Linked DNA regions of Schizosaccharomyces pombe. The protein of the gene in region 1 interacts with the protein of each later gene in a biochemical or structural test. Each region holds a gene or a part of one and is shown on either strand. Other genes may lie near its edges.

Evidence for each region. Proteins that work in one complex are often made in the same cells at the same time.
Region 2: of the proteins of sty1 (region 1) and pyp2, one has a biochemical effect on the other in vitro, tested with the Schizosaccharomyces pombe proteins (3 studies listed by BioGRID).

Annotation. Positions count from the first base shown.
Region 1 is NC_003424.3:203,891-211,655, forward strand, and holds sty1 (MAP kinase Sty1), read right to left. Parts: upstream 4,247-7,765; 5' UTR 4,024-4,246; coding exon 2,974-4,023; 3' UTR 2,586-2,973; downstream 1-2,585. Other genes in the region: SPOM_SPAC24B11.05 (pyrimidine 5'-nucleotidase), read left to right, coding at 1,323-2,003; SPOM_SPAC24B11.07C (oxidoreductase), read right to left, coding at 5,456-7,141. UniProt on the Schizosaccharomyces pombe protein: Proline-directed serine/threonine-protein kinase involved in a signal transduction pathway that is activated by changes in the osmolarity of the extracellular environment. Controls osmotic regulation of transcription of target genes.
Region 2 is NC_003424.3:5,198,649-5,206,161, reverse strand, and holds pyp2 (protein tyrosine phosphatase Pyp2), read right to left. Parts: upstream 3,507-7,513; 5' UTR 3,340-3,506; coding exon 1,204-3,339; 3' UTR 960-1,203; downstream 1-959. Other genes in the region: protein Emc10, read left to right, coding at 27-698; Tf2-8 (retrotransposable element/transposon Tf2-type), read left to right, coding at 6,450-7,513. UniProt on the Schizosaccharomyces pombe protein: Plays a role in inhibiting the onset of mitosis. Dephosphorylates sty1/spc1 and wis1/spc2/sty2.

The DNA of each region.
Region 1 (7,765 bases):
TCCCTACTAAAGACAATACTTTTTCTTTAAACAAAAATTGATAATGGATTTTCTCTTCAGAAGGGGGTTTTCTGTTAGATTAAGAGCTAAAAAATTGCTGTGGATACCTCGCTTTTCGTTTCTCATGGTACACAGTTAAAGCGGTATATTCGATCTTTCTAATACAATTTCGAAGCGATTTTACGGTTGATACAGCAAGCTTGTTCACCATTGAACAAGATGATATCAAAATTCACCAATTGTTTACTGAAAAGTCATTCTTCATACAAATGTTCTTATCTTTTTGGCGGTGCGTCAAATACCCATGAAAAAGTATCTTAGTGTTTGACCTAGCTTATGTTCCATGATCTCGCATTTAGTGTTCGTTTAACATATGGGCGTAAAAAGCTTACCTCCGGTAAAGATAGGTAGACTCGGTCGCCATCGTTACAATACACTCTACTCGCTGAAGATGATGAATGATTCCGTTCATGATATATATATCGATAGCCTCTTCTTCCCTAACAACAACGCATCCTTTGTTCACAAGTTTTACAAAAGTATTGTAATTCTCTGCTCCAATTTTATAAGAGAAGTACCTATTCTAATAGTTTTTTCTGCTTGAAGGGAAATTCGCATTAACCCTGATCACGCTGGTATCGCATACTCACCAACGTCAAATTTGAATACTTAAGCACGATTTTTACGATTTTTTTTACATTTATTAGCGTCGATAAATCGTAAAATTTTGGAAGAAGGAATTCAAACGATCCAGTTTTCCCATATCTTTTCTGTTTATCAAGTGGTGATTGATTTGTTTGTTTACATCAATTGCCCTGTCCAAATCACACTTTTTACAATTCATACGTTTTTCTCGACTTTTTTAAAATTGTTACCGTTTTCTTCTCTTCTTTTTATTTTTGTACGTCTTTGAATACTAATTCACGATTCGTTATTTCCCGATCATACTAGTTTGTTTCGATCCATTAACCCGAGGTAAACATCTGTAATTATCTTATCAATCTTCGAATACCTCCTTTCTTTTTATCGTGATACTGGCTATTGATCGTTTATTCACAGGACATTAACCACAAATATCCGGGTTGAGTCGTTAATTGCTTTAAAAAGTCTCATTTCTTAAGTTTTTCAACTTAATTTTATTTTATTTTATTTTTTTGTTTTTAGGATTTTAATACTCCTTCTGCTATTTGTTTTTGTGTGCGTCCATTGATCGTTTGTTCTCCTACGCTATTAGATATACACCTCTCTTTGTTGACGTTTCTCTTTTTTTCTCTATTCAAATTTTTTACTCCATCTGACCGTTCTTTTTTTTAACAACCATTATGACTGTTGAGCAGAAGATTATTTTTTTCGATTTGGATAACTGTTTGTATCCTAAATCTTACAAAATCCATAACATGATGGCTGCTCGTATTACTGCATTTTTCTCTGATAAGCTTGGCATACCTACAGAGGAGGCAGAACGCCTTCGTGAAGTTTACTATCGGCATTACGGTATAGCAATTCGTGGTCTTGTTCTCCATCATGAAATTGATGCTGTGGATTATGATCAGCGTGTCGATCAGTCTCTTCCCTTAGAGAAGGTTATAAAGAAAGACGAAGTTTTGCGTGAGATGCTTTTAGAACTTCGTAAAAAGTACAAGTGCTGGATTTTTACGAATGCATATATCGTTCATGCTAATCGTGTCCTTAAATATCTTGGTATTGAGGATTGCTTTGACGGTATAACGTACTGCGACTACAATGCCAAGGATTTGATCGCTAAACCCATGCCTGAAATGTATGAGCGTGTAATGAGAGAAGCAGGCGTTACTGACAAGGATAAATGTATATTTGTCGATGACTCATATGGTAACATTTTGGGTGCTCGGGAGTTTGGTTGGAAATACACTGTTCAATTAGTAGAACATGGTGATCCACTTCCCCAACCTCAAGCAGGATCGCATGTTATTCGTGATATTCACAAATTCAAACACTTGCTAGATGAAATTGATGGCGAATAGTCATCCAGCTTTTCTATATCAGGCTTCGACTTTTGAAATTGAACGTGCATTTTTAATCAACATCTTCTTCATTTTTTAATCCCCTTTTTCATAGAACGGGAGATTTGTTGTCACTGTCAATCTCCTTTTTGTATTTATGTTGCTTCAAGCACGTCTGTTTTGAGCCCAATTTCTCTTTTAACGTTTTAGCCTCTCCTTTCTCCATCACCTCTAACTAGTTTTAATTGGAAAAATTATTTGTTCTTCCTTTTAATTATTTTTACGATACTGTTTATTCATAGCTCTTTTTTTGATTATGAAGATACACTTCGCATTTGCTAAGTTTTTATGTTTTATGAAGTAATTCCTAGATGACTATGATTTTTTTTAACGTTTTTAAGATTTTTATTTAACTTCATGTACACAAGATGTCCAAAATCTTGTTGTATAAATAATAAAAGTTAAAAATTAATAAATACACTACTTATTATAAAACCCGTAACTACATTAACGAACTTAAAAACTAAATCATACAGATTAGCATTATAAACCTAGATGGGTAACTATTATAATGGCTTTTTTTTTTTTTTTTTTTTTTTTTTTTCTTTCAAAAAGAGAAGTTCGGTGATTTATTCAACTTCTGAATTTGTAGTCAAAACAAGAAGAGGAAGGTATATATGTTCATTACTTGGAAAGAGGAAGTTGGAAATAATTTTCATGGGCCATCGCATTACCATATCCGAAAAAAAAGGATAAAAATTTGAATTTCAAAATATTTTAGAAAAGGAGTGGCGAGAAAAAACACCACACTTGAAAATCGCAATTGTAATTTATAATTAAACGGAGGATTAAAAACCCGATGACCATTAGAATAATAGAAAAGCCTAAAATTCCATGGAACCGAGATGATATAAATATGATACACGTGAACAAAATAGAGTAATCATAACATACCCCGAGAACAACTTTTAAGGCTTTATCTACAACTTGTTTAGGATTGCAGTTCATTATCCATGTTGTGAAACGACAAAACCTCGGAGTACATCATGACCTTCCAAGTCTCCACAGGTAAATCATTATCTTGGAATGACCAGTCAAAAACTTCATCAGCAACAGGCTCATCAGTAGGATCATGGTATGGAGCAAGATAGTTATGAGCCAAAGCATCAGCAGCACTAATACGCTTACGAGGATCAAAGACAAGCATTTTTTCTAACAGATCAATAGCATCTGGATCGGCGTTTTTGAACTTTTCAGCAAAAGGAACTTTCTCCTTTTGAGGCAATGATTGAACAAAGCGAAGTGTGTTTTTACTGCAAATCGTCTCAATTACTTCCATAGGCGGCGTTCCCAACAATTCCGTGATTATAGAAAACTGGTTAACGTGGTCTCGGCCGGGAAACAAGGGTTTTCCTTCAATCATCTCAGCAAAAATACAACCCGCACTCCAAATATCAACTTCGACGTTGTACTTTTGCCAAGTTAACATAATCTCAGGTGCACGGTAATAACGAGTAGAAACATAGCCCGTCATTTGAGGGTCTTGAATACGAGCCAAACCGAAATCGCAGATTTTTAAATCGCAATTTTCGTTAATTAAGATGTTACTGGGTTTCAGATCACGGTGAATAACACCGGCAGAATGAACAAACTTGAGCCCTCGCAAGATTTGGTATAAGAAGTATTGTATAAATTGCGTCTCTAAAGGTCGCGATGTAAGTAGTCTATGAAGATCTGTTCCCAGAAGCTCCGTGACAAAATAAATATCTTCAAAGGGAGAAATAAAAATATCGCTCAAGCTAATAATATTCTCATGCCTTAAATGCTTTAATAGTTTTAATTCCCGATAGGTACGTTTTGCCAGTACCGGAGTACTAAAGGGTTTCATAATTTTCTTAACAGCGACATTCATTCCAGTTAGCTGATCCTTCGCTGAACAAACGAGGCCAAAGGCGCCCATGCCAATCGGCTGTAAGTCGCTATATCTAGTGGTAATTTCAAAACATGTACCGAATATTTGTGTACGAATAAATTCTGCCATTTTATTCAAACTGGTTACAAAAAGGACTATTCAACAATAATCTCAAAAATTTAAGCGTCCTTCGTCTATATCGAAAAGTAACTTTCTCTTCTTTTTACAAGTTCCCAACAACGCTGCGAAGTGCCAAGCTTTATAATAATTACGATAACAATCGTCGGTATCGGACCTCGTATTCCGTTAAACAGATTGTGGTGTTTGCTTGTAATAAGCAATGAAGTGCTCTGGTTAAGTTGTGGTAAGGAGGTATGTAGCTGTGATTAAGTGCACACCGCACTACAGTGAACTTGCGCTTCAGCATCCAGAACCTCAAAGAATGAAGTTCCGCCGGTTTAACGATGTTTTTAAAATGTATTAAACAATTTAAAGTACTACTACTTTTGATAACAACTGACGACGATAAACACCAAAGTGACCACTCCTTCTACTCTTACCAAGGCTTTGTTGTCCAGATCTGAGATGGGTTAGTTGGTAAAGTTGTTAAGCCAGCTTTATTAGATCAACTTTTTTAGCTATTTGAGCTAGTATTCATTATTGAAATGTGTGTTTCAAGGAAAAAGTCTTGTAAGCTAACCCAATTTGTCTTTTGACAACAGTTACTGTTGAAAAACCCGTTCAATTATAGATCTGACATTTCATTTGATCCATAATGCTCGATTTCGTAGTTAATTTGCTTGTTTGCCTCTATTAGCCCAGCGTCCGCGTTTTGATTTCTTAGCGAGTTGTTAATATTATGGTTTCACGATTAGGCATTAATCGGGTCTGTACCTTCCACATTTTGGGACGAAATAACCAAGGATAATTAGGTGCAACAAGTCATTTTCCATTTCAATTTTCCTTTTACTTTATTAAAAAATTTTTAATTAAAAAAGTTTGGACAAATACCATTTAAAGTCTACGAGGAAATAGGACACAATACTACGTTAAATGTATGTTTCAATAAAAAATCAATTCAATAAAAGGACAAAAATTAAAAGAAGGGAAAATCGAAAAAAAAAAGAATGTGATGCCGAAATTACCATACGGCTCAGTGAGCAGATAGACTAAAGATACGTATTATATGGAATTCTTCGCCAAAGATACATGCAAAATGTAATAAAAGTTATATATATACATATATGATAGACTTATACCAAATTGCTTCCATGGCGGAGATAACCAAACGGGGTAAAAACAGAGTACTTTTAAAATATAGACCAGATTAAAAAGAATGAAATTATGCCTTCATAAATTTGATGCAAATGAACCCAATACGATGAGTGCTAACGCGTTATTCTTAGCGCAAATTGTTCGGAAGAAAATAAAAAAACATAACGTGATCCCCAAAAGAATGCTTAATAATGAGTCAGTAGAATTCAAATCAATAAAAGTTTAACACGACAATGCTTTTATAATGATAAAGGAATGAGGAAAACTGTGGCTCCGAAAGAGAGGTCTACGATTTCATGCGAGAAGTTCCACGAGCTAGCGGAAAGCGACGCATCGCATTAGGTATAACCGTCATTGACGATGTCTCAGAAGCCACAGAAGCTCGAGGTTCTACTCCCTTATTGTTGTTCATGAGAGTAAAATACGTTTCGGATTCACCACTGTCATCAGTTTCACCGTTTCGCGATTCCGCAGAATTAGAGTTGGAATTTGGTCTTGACAATACTTCATTTCCAAGTGATTGAGAAGACGAATTAGGATCACTTGGCGTACCAAATCTTGATGACTCAGGTGATATATTCTTGTGCGTATGCTCTTTAGCTTCAGGGGATAACACGTTTTTTCCACCACGAACAGGAGGTGAACCTCGAGGAGCAAAACGCGGATCAAAAGTTCGACCCAAGCCCTCATAATCACTCTTTAAAGACTGTTGCATTTGCATCAAAGAAGGAGAATACAAAGAACGTCTAGAGCGACGAGTTGTAAGAGACAACATATCCATATTGTCAGCAGTCATTGCTCGTCCTTTTGAAAGGGACGGAGCAGAAGGAATTCTGCCCATATTTGGCTTACCATTTTCGGGAACAGAATATGGGTGTAAAGGTGAATGTCGATCAGAAACGAAGGATGATGGATTAATAGGCCGCATATTAACCAAAACTTTGTTTTTCTTAGGTGAATTGTCCGTGGGCCCATGCATATCATTCATGTGATGTGGTTGAACGAGAGGAAGGTGTTGAATACTCGAAATTAATGCACTTATTGTTCGTAAACGAGGAACTTGGAGGGATTGTTTAGTAGCTAAATCAATACAATAATGTAAATACTGTACAATTTCAACAGGGCGGTTTGATCTATATTCTCTAAAAGCCGGATTCACCTGCATATGCGAAAGTAATGTTTCGCGTTGCTTGGAAAGTTTTTTTACATCCAAGGAGGATCCAAGGCAGTTACACAAGCTATCAAGCTCTTGTAATATACCTTGGTGCAAGTCATTGATATCGGGACGTTCTAAGAGCTTGGGCAAATTGGGATTTTGCGTGAGTACAGTTAATGGATAAAGAGAGAGGGGTAAAGCGAGGTCCTCAATTTCCAAGGGAAGCAATGTATCCAATATTTCAGATGAAATTTCTCCACCTTCCAAAATCTCAACCAACCTGGAAAGCTGGTCAATTTCGAGATTGGAACCAGCAGGAGCTAAGTAAAACGGAGCGCAGTCTCCAAAGAAAAATTCATCTACAGAACGTTGAGATACAGGTGTATGAGTAATGAGAGAAAAGATAGGGTTTTCAGGATATTGGCGTTGCAAAGCTTCTTCAACCCCAATGGCACCAGTAGAGTTATAAACAATACACGTATGCTTAGCAGTGATCACCGGTTCTAATATGTTGGACAATTGAAAATTGCGAGAATTAGGTTTGATTGAAACAAATACATAATCGAAAGGCTCAGAATCAGAGGTAACCTCTTCAAGCTTAGATAAACGATACGTCGGACGGTATTTACGAGTTCCGAATTTTTTCGATTGAATAGTGAAGACGTTAGTAGAAGGCTCGGGGGCATTGAAAAACATTATAGTTTCTTGGCATGTCACAACTGAGCTTTGCTGTAACCTCCAACCTAATAAAGTCGTGATGGAAGGGCTACCAACACACAAAATGCTGACACGCTCCTTTTTTCCTGCGTCAGTCATTTCAGTAGCAAATTAAAAATGACTCTTCTTAAAAAAAAATTATATTTACACTTTAAAAAAAAAACTCAATCGTTGGTTTTGGATTTCTTTTTTCGAGTTGAATTCGTTTGTTAAATCTTTAATAAACTCCACGATTCCATGCAGCTCTAATAACGACTATACTAAAACCGTTTTCACACGTAAATCGAAAGCTTTTCTAAAAGTGATTTATCCAAAGCAGCAAATTGTGGTTTGCTATTTTTCGAAACCGTTTCTATAGGATCACACCGTACAAAAGAGCGCTAATTGTAAATGTATGTATTTGGAAAAGGGAAATTGGTTTCCAATGGAAACGATCGGTTTTCCTTGTGGCTTCTAAGACGTATGATTGTCGGTCTCGGGGTTATGCTTATGGTAGAAGAGCGTGTATGGATATGACAACTCATACCATTCCGCTTGGCACGATCTTCCTTGGAGTGCACTAAAAAAAAACTAAAAAAATTTTGATCACTCGTACTACAAATAATACTTATTTTTATTAATACTTTAAGACAATTCAATTCATTTTAATTTCCTTTTTATTTAAAATGCTATAGAATCAAGACAATACTTTAGGTTCGGAAAGCGAATATATCTAATACTATA
Region 2 (7,513 bases), 5.0 Mb from region 1:
CATAGATTTTACGAAATTTACTAAAAATGCTAGGACAAGGCTTGATTTTTATCAGTTTAGCCTTTGTTGCTCATGCATTAGAAATTCCTATTTCTTGCGCTGTATCACATAATGAGCAAACAGAAATATTTCCACATGGTACTATTGATATCCCAGAAATGACATTTCGTCCTTCGGACTCACAAATTGATTGGAGTAATCTTTCTCACTCTGATTTTGTACAATGTGGAGTATACGAAGATTCTACCAACACATGGCTTGCAGGCGCCAGCAAATACAAAATTGATGAAATAAAAACCCTTCCAAAAGTACCTAGAGACCACTATATCATACTTTGTGATTCATCAGAAAGCAATGAGATTGCAAAATTTACTCAAGTGGTCCACTCATTTGATTTTTCATCCGACTCAGAAAGTGCTGTAGTCGAGCAATTGCATCCTTCTTCTCCAATTCCAATTTTAACTACTGCTGTCAGAAAAAAGGGATCACGTCCATCTAAACCCCAGAAGGAAAAACAAGGAAATAAACAGGGTTCTAAAACCGAAGAATCTCCAAATGTGGACGAAGATGAATTAGAGTCCGAACCTGAGGAAAAGACATTTTTCCAAAAATATGGTTTATATCTCATCCCGATATTGTTTCTGATAATTATGTCTGGTAACAATGCAAATCAACAGGCAGCAAATACGGCGAAATAAACGAGTCATTATATATATGCCTTAAAACAATTGCGTCTCGGCTACGATAATTTTTTGATTATTGCTACTACTTACTGTGCTCTTTACAAATATTCTAATTCATCTATTTCCATTCAATAATACTGCTATGTGCCAGATGTACGATACTTAATAGTACTTTAAAATCTATACAAACATTTGTAATGAAATATCGTATAGGAAAGGTTAAAATAAAAAAGAAGGAAGTTTCTACGTGCACATAACTAATTTAGTCTTTAACAATTATTCCATTCCAACATAAACAAGATTCATTAATAACTAGATATAAACATTCATTACACGCATGAGATAAAATCAATTTTTAACAACAATAAGGAAGGAATTACACATGATTACCGGAGAGTGTGGTTAAGTATTTTTAACATAACCTTCGCGTCAGATAATGTAAAAAATGAGGAATTACACAATCTCACATAAATAGAACATAGTGTGTACAAACACAGAAAATTAAAGAACAGTCGTTTCGTTAAGTCATCAAGGGCTTGGAAGCCTGGTTAACGCCGCTATTTAAATAATCCACGACGTCGTAGAGAAATTTGAATTGCTCAAAGTTTTGAACCATTTTCATCCGTTGTGATCTCAACGAGTTAACACAATTGAATATGAAATCTTTTGAATCTTCCAAATTGGTCGTCTTGGGTAAAATGTTTTTTGGTACCTGAAGTATTTGGTCTACAGCAATAAAAGTACCAGTGCGTCCTACGCCTGCTGAACAGTGAACGAACATTGGTCCATCATTGGGAACCTTATCAATACAACGTATGATTCCCGTGATGCTTTCAATATCTGGATGGGTTTTGTCAAACCACGTGTGCACCCAAAAGTGATGTATATACTTTGGAGGACCATTAGGTTTATCCAATCGAAACAAATGAGTGTTGACCTTCAAATCTTCAAAGGTTTCATATTTTTGAACAGATATGCGTAATCCGCCTTCCAAGCATAATGCGTGATCTTTGTTATCTGGCCAATATTGAGAACATTTCTCACTTCCCGCCTCATACAGATTTGTGAGCATTACGATAACACCATTTGTTCCTGAGTTATGCCAAACCATTTCCCAAAAGTCTAAAAGAGTTCCCGGCTTAGGGGCCTGGCAGGCAATATATTTTTTATTTCCAACGTCTATATGTGAAGCATTAATATAATCAGAACATCCTTTTGGAACGGCTAGACGGACTCTTGTTTTATCGTAGGGCACGATATCTGTGTAACGATTTTTTCTTGAAATGGAAGTGGAGCGGCTGGAAGCTAAACAGCACCAATCAGATTTACTGTCATTAAACGCTAGGGATCTAGTCATTTCCATTTCCTCAAGTCTTTTAAACTTATAAAAAATAGAAGCAGTATTTAAATCCGCAAGCACCTCACAAGGAGGAGGAGAAACCTTTTTGGCACCCCAGGGATTACAAGTAAAGGGTCCTTTGTTTTCCTTGGAGAAAATGCTTCCCTTGGTCTCTTTATTAAAGCACGGTTTGTTAGCTCTTCTTAGACCGCCTGGTTTTGGAGCATCTCGTGTGTTTGATAAACCAACAGATGGTTTAAGTTTGCTTGTCATCGTACTAGTACCATCATTCTGTGCATTGCTATCACGTTTCATTGACTTCCGTGGAATAATTTCCAAGGAAGCTTGAGACAAACTTGGATTGACGACGTTGCTGGATTTAACATAGTTGCTAAAGCTACGAACGCGAGAAGCAGAAGGCCGTCTCTGATTATTCGAGGAGGGATAAGAAGGCACCGATCGTAGAGATGGCCTGGCAGGAGTTTGCTGAGGGGCATTGCCTACGATAAAAAAGTTTTTCTGTTCATCAGGCGTACTAGGACAAGAAGATGCGCAAGAAATGGCGGGAGAGATTGGAAAATATGGCATTTCAGCTTGAAAAGCTGAATTTGGGGGAGAGAGGGGTGAACCATATATAGATTGGCACGAACGAACAGAAGAAGCAGTAGGAGAGTGAATCGAAAACGGTGTTAAACCTGAAAATCCAGGGTATTCCGCATGACTCGCGAACTCACTAAAGGTATCGGAGACTACCGAAGGTGTGCATAAAGGTGGTGGGATGTTAATAGGAACTCTCAATGGAAAGCTATAATCTGGTGAAATAGGGGTAGAAACCGCAGATGGATCGGATAAATGAAGGATATCCAGCTTGCAATTCTCATTGATGTCAATTTTGTATGGGACCGACTCCTTGACCATTTCGGTAGAGACAATGGCGTCCGGATGAGAGGAAGCAAAGGCTTCAAATCCATTGCTTAATAAATAAATTTTTTTGGAATATCCACCACGTCGAAACTTCTGTACCAAATCATAAATACGGTTCATGCCAGCCATGCTAGAGTCGTATAGGAATATGGCATTAATTTCATCCAACGAGACTTTTACGTTGCATTTTATACAGGCGAAAACCTTTCCAATGTCAAAAGACGGACGACGTAACAACGCAGTTGGAAGAGAAACGTTGATGGCATTTTTTATATGGCTAACAGCATATTTGGAGTGCAGGCGCAAATCAATAATCCAAGAAACGCTCTCGGTTTGTTCTTCAAAAGACTTAAGAGTAGAGTTAAATTCGTCTTTAGACAGAAGATGGAGCATAGTAGCACAAAATTTTTGAAAACACCTTGGAAGATGTTATATCCTAAGTAAAAGGGACAGAGACAAGATTGGCCAAGCTAAAATATATATACAGGAAACTTTTAAAATGGCACACAAATTAAAACGAAAAAAAAGATAGCAGGCGAGTGTGAAGAGGTGTGCGGGTTAAGAGAAATTTTTTGAGTTATTTACAGTGTGCTTTCGGAAAAAAAGAATATAAACAAAATGGAAACGTAAGAGAGAAGAAACTGTATAAAAATAACAATTATTGACTTTTTGCGAGTTCAATCAAGGAGTCAAAAATATAAGACAAAGAAACTCCTGGGCGACGTGAACAAGGATGAATGAGGAAACTTGTTGATTGAAAGAGACGAAATCAAACAAGCAAATAAATAAATTTTTAATAAACAGAAAATAAACAAAATTAAAAGTTTTGTATTCTTGGATGATGGTGGTTAATTTTTTTGTGATGAAAAGGAAAAACTGCAACTCGATTTTCCCTTTGTATTGCCTATTGATGTTGAACAGAGAAAAGCTCCTTTTTGTCAAATAAATAGAAGTCCGCGAAGTGGCGCTGGGATATAAAATGCAAAAAAGATAGATGAGTGAATATATATGAATAAATAAATAAACAACTAGTAAATGAGTCAAATAGGTGAAATCTTCACGTAATATACACAAGATGGGTAAAGTTGAAGTAACTTTAACACGTAACAAAAATTTTCTTCTACGAAGAATAGGGCTTCCATGCGATCCCTAAATCTCGTACACTTAAAATTGGTACAACTTGGTTTTTCCTACATTTCACCACCAGGCCCTCATATATATATATATATATTTTACATGTAAGAAGGATGTAGATCGATTTACGTCTGATCCTCGGTTTTGGCACCAGGCACTGGGCAGTGAGACCAGGTAACATACAATGTAATATTATGTAGTCATGACGTGTCAAGATCGTAGACGAGGAAAAATTTTAGGCAACAAAAACAACGGCTAAAAGGAGATTGAAATGAGCTAAACCAAGGAATTTTTTGAAGCTGAAAAATGAGTTCTTTTAGTTTATAAAGTTGATGATGATTTTTTTCTTTAATTCCTCGAAAACAAAGTTCGGGTACTAATGTACCTAATTTCACGGTCACGTCATTCTCTGCTACCTAAAGGGGTTTCCCCATACTTTTCTGCTAAGCGACCGTTTATTCTAAGATATAACGAGAGGTAAGATGGCAATACGGTGTACTATTTAACGAAATATTGCATAATGTGACGAGTGACGCTTAGAGCACAGTAAGACCGGATCTAGTGAAGCCGAATGCATGGAAGAAGCCCTCTCTTGGGCCACAGCAAAATAAAGGGCCGCAGCGAACCAAGGCTAACTCGTAATTAACACTAGTTGTACTGTGTAGCACTATGCAGGATTAAAGAGACTTTGCAAAGCCGGGAGATTGTCTTAATGTGGACTATACGTACGTTACTAGAAAATTGAGTCGCTATGGCATGCGCTATTGTGAAAAGTGGAGAGGGGGGCAGGGAAGTGAATGACTCGGTGGTACTTTACGTACTCTCATGTACTGCGTGTTTCTAATCGTCAGGTGAATCCAAATAATCCCCTTGTTTTGTTCACATCAATAATATGTCTTAATTATCTTCTTCTGCCTGCTTCCCCAGATTCTCTTCTGTACCCCATCTTTTAACATTTTCTCATGCCAATTTGAACAAGATAGACATGTGAAGAGCGAAAAAAATTTATTTACACATTCGGTAATCAAAAGTGGGGACTTGTTATCCTTTGAAGAATCCTTACAGAATGTGGATTTTCTTTTGTTTTGCCACTACGCAAAAGAAACATTTTCTTTCTTCTTTTTTTGGCAAGCGAGAAAAGGGTTGATCGGGACTGACATTGGTAAACACTGCAATACATTACATGTCGGGAACCTTTTTTTTTTGTCTTGGCTTTCTCTAATCTTTGTTTGCAAAACGGTCAACAACTAACACCGTGTTGCCAGATGACATTTTCTATAGTTCACTACTTCATGGGTGAAGAAGTGCTCTTTTTCAACGGTGCTCTGTAGAGGCTTTTATTTGGTAGCTGCAGCAAGCTTCCCATGCTCTCTTGGTAACAAAATAATTACAGATGAAATGAACCAAAGAAAAAATTCGAAATATGTCAGCAATCCTAAGCTAAGTTAAGGTGCACTGCGTTAAAAATCATTATGCGTCATGTGATGGAAACTACTTAAAGATTTATTAATTGATAATTATGAAAGAAGTAGCATTCGAGAAAATTTAGGATTCTTCTGATATTTAAATTCTACATTAAAAATCGTAAGTAGAGTTCATCTAAACTTAGGAACGAGGTTCATACATAAGCAATTTCAATGATAAGTCACAATATCATTTATATATACAAGAATATCAATAGCAGTGTTACTCAGATTACCTCTATACCACAATATAGCAGGTTTCAAGTAAAACTTACTGTAATTGAACGTATCTTCAGAATAGTGAATTACTTAATCGTAAATAATGTAACAGTGAGTAATCGAAACAAAATAAAATAATACGCTATAACGATTGAATGTCTATATCACTTATTGTCAGCAATACTACACTACGCTATAATACACTACGTTGAGTATCACTATATGTCACATGTTCTAATTATATATCGTACCATGTATGATACGATATGGAGATTGATCTTAATGATAATCTATTAAGATCAATATTATCTGAATACTATAAATAGAGCTACTGCTGAACCTCGTTCCTCAGTTCAGTTATGAGCTATATTAGTGATAGGTAACATTATAACCCAGTTAATACAATACCTATACTCAGTTGCTACTTATACAACCTGTGTATTGTAATATAATAGATCACAAGGAAAACTCACCGCAGTTCTACGTATCCTTAAATCAGATACCAAACTGCGTAGCTTACAATAACTGAACTCTTGTGATCTACAATTAACTCCTTTTAGGAAAAAGGAATTATTGAATAAATATATATCATAAATATATATATTTCTCTCCTTCTGGGTTCAAAGGAGAAGGAACTTTGGAAGGACTGTTATCCCTTTTGAAATCTCCCAAAGGGAAACATATACAATGTCCTACGCAAATTATCGTTATATGAAAGCAAGAGCAAAACGATGGAGACCAGAGAATTTGGATGGAATTCAAACATCAGACGAACATTTAATAAACCTTTTTGCAAAAATATTATCGAAGCATGTACCAGAGATAGGGAAATTCGATCCAAATAAGGATGTTGAAAGTTACATTTCAAAACTTGATCAACACTTTACTGAATACCCTTCATTATTCCCAAATGAGCATACTAAAAGACAGTATACATTGAATCACCTAGAAGAATTAGAGCAACAATTCGCTGAACGCATGTTTTCTGAGAATGGAAGTCTTACATGGCAAGAATTACTCAGACAAACAGGGAAAGTACAAGGATCCAACAAAGGTGATCGTTTAACTAAAACATTTGAAGGTTTTAGAAATCAATTGGACAAAGTTCAATTTATAAGGAAACTCATGTCAAAAGCAAATGTTGATGATTTCCATACTCGCTTGTTTATATTATGGATGCTGCCATATTCCTTAAGGAAATTAAAGGAAAGAAATTACTGGAAATCAGAAATCAGTGAAATTTATGACTTTTTAGAGGACAAAAGAACAGCCTCGTATGGTAAAACTCACAAGCGTTTTCAACCGCAAAATAAAAATCTAGGAAAAGAGTCCCTTTCAAAGAAAAATAACACCACTAATAGCAGAAACCTGAGGAAGACAAATGTTTCGAGAATAGAATACTCATCTAACAAATTCCTAAATCATACTAGGAAACGTTACGAAATGGTATTACAAGCTGAACTTCCAGACTTCAAGTGCTCAATACCCTGTCTAATCGATACGGGCGCTCAAGCAAATATTATAACAGAAGAAACTGTTCGAGCACATAAACTGCCTACCAGACCCTGGTCAAAAAGTGTGATATATGGTGGAGTTTATCCAAATAAGATTAATCGCAAAACAATAAAACTTAACATAAGTCTAAATGGAATATCAATCAAAACAGAATTCTTGGTTGTAAAGAAATTTTCGCATCCAGCTGCTATCTCCTTCACAACATTATATGACAATAACATTGAAATATCTAGCAG